Rattus norvegicus: one gene and its partner. The protein of the gene in region 1 purifies or fractionates together with the protein of each later gene. This does not show direct contact. Links are inferred from orthologs where the notes say so. Each region holds a gene or a part of one and is shown in the gene's direction. Other genes may lie near its edges. The genes, in order: Casp9 and Dcc.

Region 1 (3,919 bases):
CTCTCCCCAGACTTCCTGTTTGTAAATTCACCTCAGCTGCTCATCCGAATGTGCATCCTATCTAATGGAAAGAAGCGTTGCCTGATGCTAAAATCGGGAAGCGAGTGTAATATCATCTTTTGACATATTCCATGGTGGATTCTTGGCTAAGGGTCTATCCCAGTTCGGGTTTGAATCTCAGATGCCTCTGTTGGGGGTCAAGCTGTGAGATCCCTAACACATGTCCACAGCTGTCAGCAAGGAATAACTATTATCGGGAATATGTCAGGGATAATAACATGGCTAGCTGGGACAACACCGTAAGTGGCTAGCACGATGCTCAATTATTTTTTAAAAATGATTTATTTACTTAATGTATATAGGAATCTTCATGCACACCAAAAGAGGGAATCACCTTCCATTATAGATGGCTGTGAGCCACCATGTGGTTGCTGGGATATGAATTCAGGACCTCTGGAAGAGCAGCCAGTGCTCTTAACCACTGAACCATCTCTCCAGCCTTGTTCAGTTACTTTTTAAGTCGTGGAAATGAGTGGTACAAAACTGAGAGAACAGAGGACTAGATTCCTGGCAGTTTCTATGTGGGAGGTGCTGAGGAGGGAAAGAGAAGAGAGCGAGATGGAAGTCTGTGGGCTTAGTTTGCTGAGGCAGGATAGCCTGAAAAAGCAGGAGGCGAGGTTTTACTAGCCGCAACGGAGGAGGGCGTTAGAAGAAAGCCACAGCCCGCAAAGGACTTGAAAGACGTCTAGACATGGTTTCTTCCTTTTCCTCTCGCGACCCTTTGAGCATCTGTAGAAATAGGGTCACCAGTGAACTTTGTTAGAACAATCGCTGCTAAGCGGAACCAGCAAATGGGCGGAAGGTAGCAAGGCAAACCTGGGGTTTGGAACCCTAGGGGCGCCCTGGGGGAGAGTGTGGGAGGAGAAGGCCGCATGGAAAGTCACGTGGGTCGCATGGGGGGCGGAGCAACGTTACGTTTGGCCGCTGTTAGAGGCGGGCGAGAGCTGGGCGAGGGAGGGGCGTGAGGAGAGAGCGCTGCAGGGAAAGAGGTGGGGTGAGGCCTGAGTGCCGGACTAGGAGAGAGTTGGAATAGCAAGATGGGGGCGGGTCCTGGAGGCGGGGACAAAGGCAAAAGCAGAGAAGGGGGCGGGCCACGGGGCGGAGCGAAGGAACTCCATAGGGCCGGAGTGCTGGTCTATGAGGCAAGGAAGAGCGAGTCTTATATGAGGCGTGTGACGGGGCGGGGCTTGCGTGCAGCGCCAGCAGGCGGAACGAAGCAAGGACATCTTGGGGCGTGGCGAAGGGGCGTGGCCTGAGAGCGCGGGGGGTGGGGGTGGGGGGAAGGGGGGACGTGGGGGGAGTGAGAGAGGTGGGAGGACTGGTGAAGCGGTGACGGGGCCTTCGGAGCTGAGGTGGCTGCGGAGGTGGAGCCGAGTGAGCTTGAGGGACCGGCCTTGGGGCGGTGACCACTGGTCGGAGCGTGATCCCTAGAGGAGCTATGTGGGGGCGGGGCGTGGGTGCCGGGGCGGGACCCGAGGCCCGGAAGCGGACGGAACCAGGGGTCCAGCAATCCGCTAGCCATGGAGGAGGCTGACCGGCAACTCCTGCGGCGATGCAGGGTACGCCTTGTGCGCGAACTGCAAGTCGCGGAGCTGTGGGACGCTCTGCTGAGTCGTGAGCTCTTCACGCGCGACATGATCGAGGATATTCAGGTGCTCCCCCGCTCCCTTGTGTCCGCCGCTTTTCCCACGGCGCCGGTAGGGACTGGGAGGTCGCAGAGAGGTTCACTGAAGCCACCGCTACGGAGCTCCCGCCCTTTTCTCCCGCTTTGCACGGTGTGCAACCCAGGCCCTGGGAAACCATGGTGTGGGAACTCCATTTTTAAAACCTTCCACAATCCAGCTCTTTTAATCCTTCAGAAGAACCCAAGCACCTCTTTTGTGGAGTGCTCGCTAATGCCACTGTAACCCACACCTTGTTAGTAGTTTAGCCTCTCTGTAGAAGGGTCCTAAACACCCACTTTAGGTTTATACTGGCTCATTGTACTTGTCACTTGCCGTCTTTGAGCCTCAGTTTCCTGGGCTGTGAAATGCAACGGTGTCATCCTGTTCTAGGATGAATGAGATAACCAAGGTGAAGCACTTCTGTGGGGCCACAGCCCCAGGACCCATGTCTTTTTTTTTAGCTGGGCTTTTATCCAAGTGCATGCTTTATAAAGGATTTCAGAAAAGACGGACATTGATACAGGTACCACCGAAGAATACAATCAAACATTTGATTTTTAAAAAAAATACATTTGAGCTTCTTTGCTCCAGTTGATGCCTCACTGCAAGTCTGAAAAGGGAATATTTCTTTTTGAGAGGATATGAGTGTCAGGCCCTGGGGAACTGTCTAGAAAGCTGTCTCCAGCATCTGGATTGGAACCTAGTCTGGTCTAGTGAAGGAAAATAGAAGAAAGTGGTGTAGAGTCATGGGGTTAACTACCAGATAATAACAAAAGTAGTCTCAGGAACACTTTCGGAGGGGCCCATGCTGGCCAAGGAAAGTGGTTTGAAGGGAAAGCCCTAGTCTTCCAGAAGGCATATTAAGGAGGATCAGAAGCCGAACTGTGCAGGGAGGCACCAGCGGCCTCTGTCGTATTTCCTTCTCCAGCTAAGTGTGGTCAGAGCAGTGTCCGACCTAGTGTTGGCAGTGGCAGGCTGTTTGAAAGGAATGGTTTGTTCCTCTGGAATCCCAGCCCTCAGGAGGTAGAGGCAGGAGGATCAGGTGTTGGAGGGGATCCTTGGCTACATACAGAGTTTGAGATCGAGTCTCTGGAAACCAAAACCAAGGGCTGGAGAGCTGCCTCAGTTGTTAAGAGCTTTGATTTCAGTTTTCAGCACCCACATGGTGGCTCACAACTATAACTGTAGTCCCTGGGATCTGACACACTCTTCTGGCCTCCTTGGGCACCAGGCACACACAGTTGGCACATATACATCTAGATACACACACATATACCTACCTACCTACCTACATACATACATACATAGTAAATGTTTAAAAGCAAAACCAAAGCAAGAAGCTAGACATACAGTTTATTTGGTACAGTGCATGTCTAGTATTCGTGAATCCCTGAGTCTAACCCCTAGCCCTATAAAACCAGGCCTGGTGACTCTGGAGTCAGGAGAGGCAGAAGTTCAAAGGTCATCCTCAGCTATGAAGGAACTTGAAGGCCAATCTTGGCTACTTGAGAACTTTTCCTTCCCCCACACAAATATGAAAGTCCCCCCCCCCCAACAGAAACTTCTTTTCCTCCAAAAACAGAGATGTTGGAGATCTTGAATTCTACATTTAATTCTCTTATTTTAATGTTAGGAACAAGTTTAGAAAGTTTGAAGTACCTCGTCCAAACTACTGACCACCATTTTGCTACTTTTAGTAGGGCTAATTAGCACTTAGCACAGAGCTGGACAAACACACAGTAGGTGTCATTGACAAGCAAAGACTGCAGAGGGACATGAACTCAGTACACTGCTAGATTAGTTTCTGTCTATCTACCACAGGCATATTAAGGGGGATCAAAAGCCAAACTGCGCGGGGAGGCACCAGCAGCCTCTGTCCTTCTCCAGCTAAGTGTGGTCAGAGCAGTGTCGGACCTAGTATTGGGAATGGCAGACTGTTTGAAAGGAGAGACTTGTTCCAGGGGTGGTGGTACATACCTGCAGTCCCGGCACTCACAAGGTAGAGGCTAGGTGAGAAGCGGGAGGTAGGGTGACTGTAGATGTCACTGGATAATGAGTGTCTGGTTTTCTATCCAAACAGCGGGCAGGCTCTGGGTCTCGGCGGGATCAGGCCAGGCAGCTGGTCATAGATCTTGAGACTCGAGGGAGGCAGGCCCTTCCTCGCTTCATCTCCTGCTTAGAGGACACAGGCCAAG
Region 2 (3,819 bases), on another chromosome or scaffold:
GAAAAGTGAGCAAACCCTATGATCTCCTGAGAACTTGTCTAGGCCCTGGGTTTATCAATCAGTGTACTAATAAATACTATACTAAAATGCAGATAATGAGCTTAATCAAGTCCATGATATCTTAGCTATCACACTATTGACTGGTCAGACTTAAAATCTTCCAGTTTTATGTGGCAAATACTAATTACGGCTGTCTAAATTTTTCAAGTAATGAATGATGTAATAATATTCTTATCTATAGCTTATGAATTGTTACCTTTCCTAGTAATATTTTTGTGGCTAATTGCTTCATTAATCGGTGTTCACATAAGAATTTGTCTTATGTCTAACACAGAATCCCTGCTCTTAAATTTATCTATAATTAGAGGAAAAAACAAAACAAAACAAAAAAAAAACAAAACTGCTTTTCGAAAAATAAGACTTGTGATGAAATGTTGTAGAAATTGCGACTTCTCAGACTGCATGAATTTAGCTCCCTTCTCCTCTCTCCTTCCAGGTTTCCAAATTAAACCTTTCACGTCACTTCATTTTGTGTCTGAACCTTCTGATGCTGTCACAATGCGGGGAGGAAACGTCCTGCTCAACTGCTCTGCAGAGTCTGACCGCGGAGTCCCAGTCATCAAGTGGAAGAAAGATGGCCTTATCCTGGCCTTGGGAATGGATGACAGAAAGCAGCAACTTCCTAATGGGTCTCTGTTGATACAAAACATACTTCATTCCAGACACCATAAACCGGATGAAGGACTTTACCAATGCGAGGCATCCTTAGGAGACTCTGGCTCAATTATTAGTCGGACAGCAAAAGTTATGGTAGCAGGTATGTAGATATTTTCTTCTCTCCCACTTCTTTTATCTCTTAGATCCTTAGTAGGCATGAGAGATAATCCTTGTAAAAGCAGTGCGCATTTTGAAACTTAACTTTTTTAATTACAACAGTTACAATCTATAAGCTGAAATATGGTCATTCACAATTATATCAAGCTAAGTTTGCATACATTTTTGAGTAGTGAGAATATTTGAAATAACTCTTTGAGCAATGGCAAGGAACACATTACAATTATAAGTATGGTCACTATGCTGAATCATCAGTCTAGAATATATATGTTTTATTTTTTCAAATTGATACTCTGTACAGCTGTAACCCTCGGCCCCCATTCATACCTCACCCTTCTAATCCATGAAGCCTCTCCTGGTTATCATTCTGTGAGCTCAATAATTTAGATTCCACGGGTAAGTAAAAATATGCAGTATTTCTCTTTTTGTAACTTATTTTCCTTAACATAATATGTCCCAGGCTCAACAAGTTGTCTAAAGTAACAGCATTCTTCCTTTCTTTGGGTTGATGCAGTTCCATTGTTGATGTATCTCACGTCTGCTGATGGCCATGAAGGATAATTCTAAATGGGCACTGTAGCTACTCCTACAGGAAGCATGAGGTTACAGTCATCCGCTTGTCTCACTAACTTCATCCATAGGTGGTAACAAACCTGGTGACATTCTTCTTGTGCTGCATCTGTTTTTAGTTTTCTGAATAACATCCATGATGTCACATATAAGGTTTTCTACCAACAATGCCCATTTGTACGTGAACTAAATGAAGATTAAAGGACTGGTATCACAAGGTCTTCTTCTTTTTTTTAACTAATTTTTCTTTTTCAATTAACATGGAAAGCCGGCAGGTGCAGCTCAGCAGTGTGCATAGCTACATGTAATCTGCTTTCACAGCATAGCTGACTCATATGGACTCACTGCTTACATGAACTGGTGGACATATTTTAGTAAGATTTTAGAAAAAAATATACCCTAATCAATTCTATTTTACAGACTCAGTAGTGTTAAACATTCATAAAATCAATGCTGTAAGCCCTGACAGCAGTACATTTTATTTTAATCAGTGTCTTAGTCTGTAATGTAGACCTCAAGTGAGAAATAAAAATGTCCCATTAGTACTTTCAAGTGTAGCTCCCTTATTGACATGTCCAGCTCAATGCCAAAGCATAAGGTGCACACTTTACCTTTCATCTATGAACCTTAAATATATATCTAAATTAAGTAAACAGGGCAGGGTGTTCTTCAGACCCAAACTGTTGCTGTGTCTGCCCCAACTTTTCAGTTTTTCTAAGCATTTCTGGTCGCCTGGGAAGTACTAGATCCATGTGGAGAGGTATCAGATCATTGTTCTTATTAGTGCCTATAATGACTTGATCACTTCTTTATCTCATCTATATTAGTGACTATAATGACGTGACTGTGATCTGGCATTTGAATAGGTAGTGACTCCAAAAGGGGGCATATAGTGAGCTAAAACATGCTTCCTGACCTGTGGGAATAGCAAGTCAATGGGGTGATCCCTGGAAGGAGCAATCAGGGAACCAAATACTGCTGACTCTCTTATCTCGGAAGAGCAGCTTCTAAAACTGTGAGGAAGAATTCCTATCATAAGCAGGTGACTCAATTTATGATATTTTGCTATAGCAAACTAACATAGGCTCATCCCTAACCAGTTCCCTCAGATTTTCCCTCCGCTGATGTGTTCTGCTGGCTAATCGGCTATGAGCAGAATAATGGCTAGTCATTCGGATTTGCCACAGAATGACCTGGGTTAGACATTTGTAAGTCCCATATTCTTGAAAACCTTTCAGCAGTCAGACAAAACTTTGTCCATCATACTGGAGGATAATACTGCCTTGTTTAGTAATGACACCTAAGACAGTGCTTCTCAACCTTCCTCCTGGTGCAAACCTTTAACACAGTAACCTTTAACACAGTTCCTCATGTTTTGGTGATCGCCAAAATTAATAACTGTAACATTGCTACTGTTATGAATTGTATTGCAAATATATAATTTGTGGGATAGATGATCTGAGACACCTGTGAAAAAGTCAGTCCACCCAGAAAGGGTTACGACCCAAAGATTGAGAACCACTATCCTAAAGAGACAGGTGAGAAGATAGCCTGATCATGAAGACCAAGGTGTAAGTTTCCTGGACCTGGTGAAGGATGAGCTTGTAGAATTTCATAGATGTATATAACTCATGGGGAGGATGTGAATTTAATCATAACTGTCATTAATTAAGAGGCTCAGGTGGGATCAGTCCTGAGAAATCCGGAAAGGTTTCATATCTGGGGATAGGGATATGCATGCACCTGGACTTTCGGCAGCTTGTATATTTCTGGACTCGTGAATATTTCCTATCAACTCTCCAAAGGCCAAAGCCCCTCTGATGGTAGGAATGAAACCGGCTGTCATCTTGATGCCCTTACAAAAAGCAACTTTCTCTATCCTGCTAATGAAAATGCCCTGAATGTTACAAGGTGTGTCTCCTGCAACCCAGGTTCAGTTTTATGTTTTCACTGTTTCAGTCGTGAAGTGAGGAACAATTCCTTCCCTGTGAGATATTAAAATAAAGTGGCTTTGACTTTAGTATTCTGTGGAAGTGTAGGCTCAGGGATGTAGTCATTGAGGTGCAGTCTAATATTAGATTGTATCATTTCGGTGCAATAAGGCTCTTCACAGCATTTTAAATACTTGCCATGCTGTTCAGCAACACAGAATACATCAATGTTATGTCTGCTAGGGTTACGATTGCCAAACCACTAGAATTCACAAGGGCCATATATCTTCCTTGCAATAAAGACCATAGTCCTGATCTGATCTTATTTTTAAAGCATTAGCAGTCAATAAACCAGTTACCACTAAAAGGTAAAAGTCAGCTTTGTCTGGGTAAGAAAAATAAAAACAAAACCAAAAAACCAAAAAGCAAAAACAAAACATAGCTCTTGCGTATACTCAGGTACAGTGTAAACGTCATGTCATAC

What was found.
Region 2: the proteins of Casp9 (region 1) and Dcc purify together in Homo sapiens (co-immunoprecipitation; 3 studies listed by BioGRID and IntAct, with this or other methods). This does not show direct contact. The link is inferred for Rattus norvegicus from reciprocal best matches to the Homo sapiens genes CASP9 and DCC.

Annotation. Positions count from the first base shown.
Region 1 is NC_086023.1:159,390,534-159,394,452, forward strand, and holds the start of Casp9 (caspase-9), read left to right. Parts: upstream 1-1,540; 5' UTR 1,541-1,580; coding exon 1,581-1,712; intron 1,713-3,804; coding exon 3,805-3,919. UniProt on the Homo sapiens protein: Involved in the activation cascade of caspases responsible for apoptosis execution. Binding of caspase-9 to Apaf-1 leads to activation of the protease which then cleaves and activates effector caspases caspase-3 (CASP3) or caspase-7 (CASP7).
Region 2 is NC_086036.1:67,845,434-67,849,252, reverse strand, and holds part of Dcc (netrin receptor DCC precursor), read left to right. Parts: intron 1-496; coding exon 497-817; intron 818-3,819. UniProt on the Homo sapiens protein: Receptor for netrin required for axon guidance. Mediates axon attraction of neuronal growth cones in the developing nervous system upon ligand binding. Its association with UNC5 proteins may trigger signaling for axon repulsion.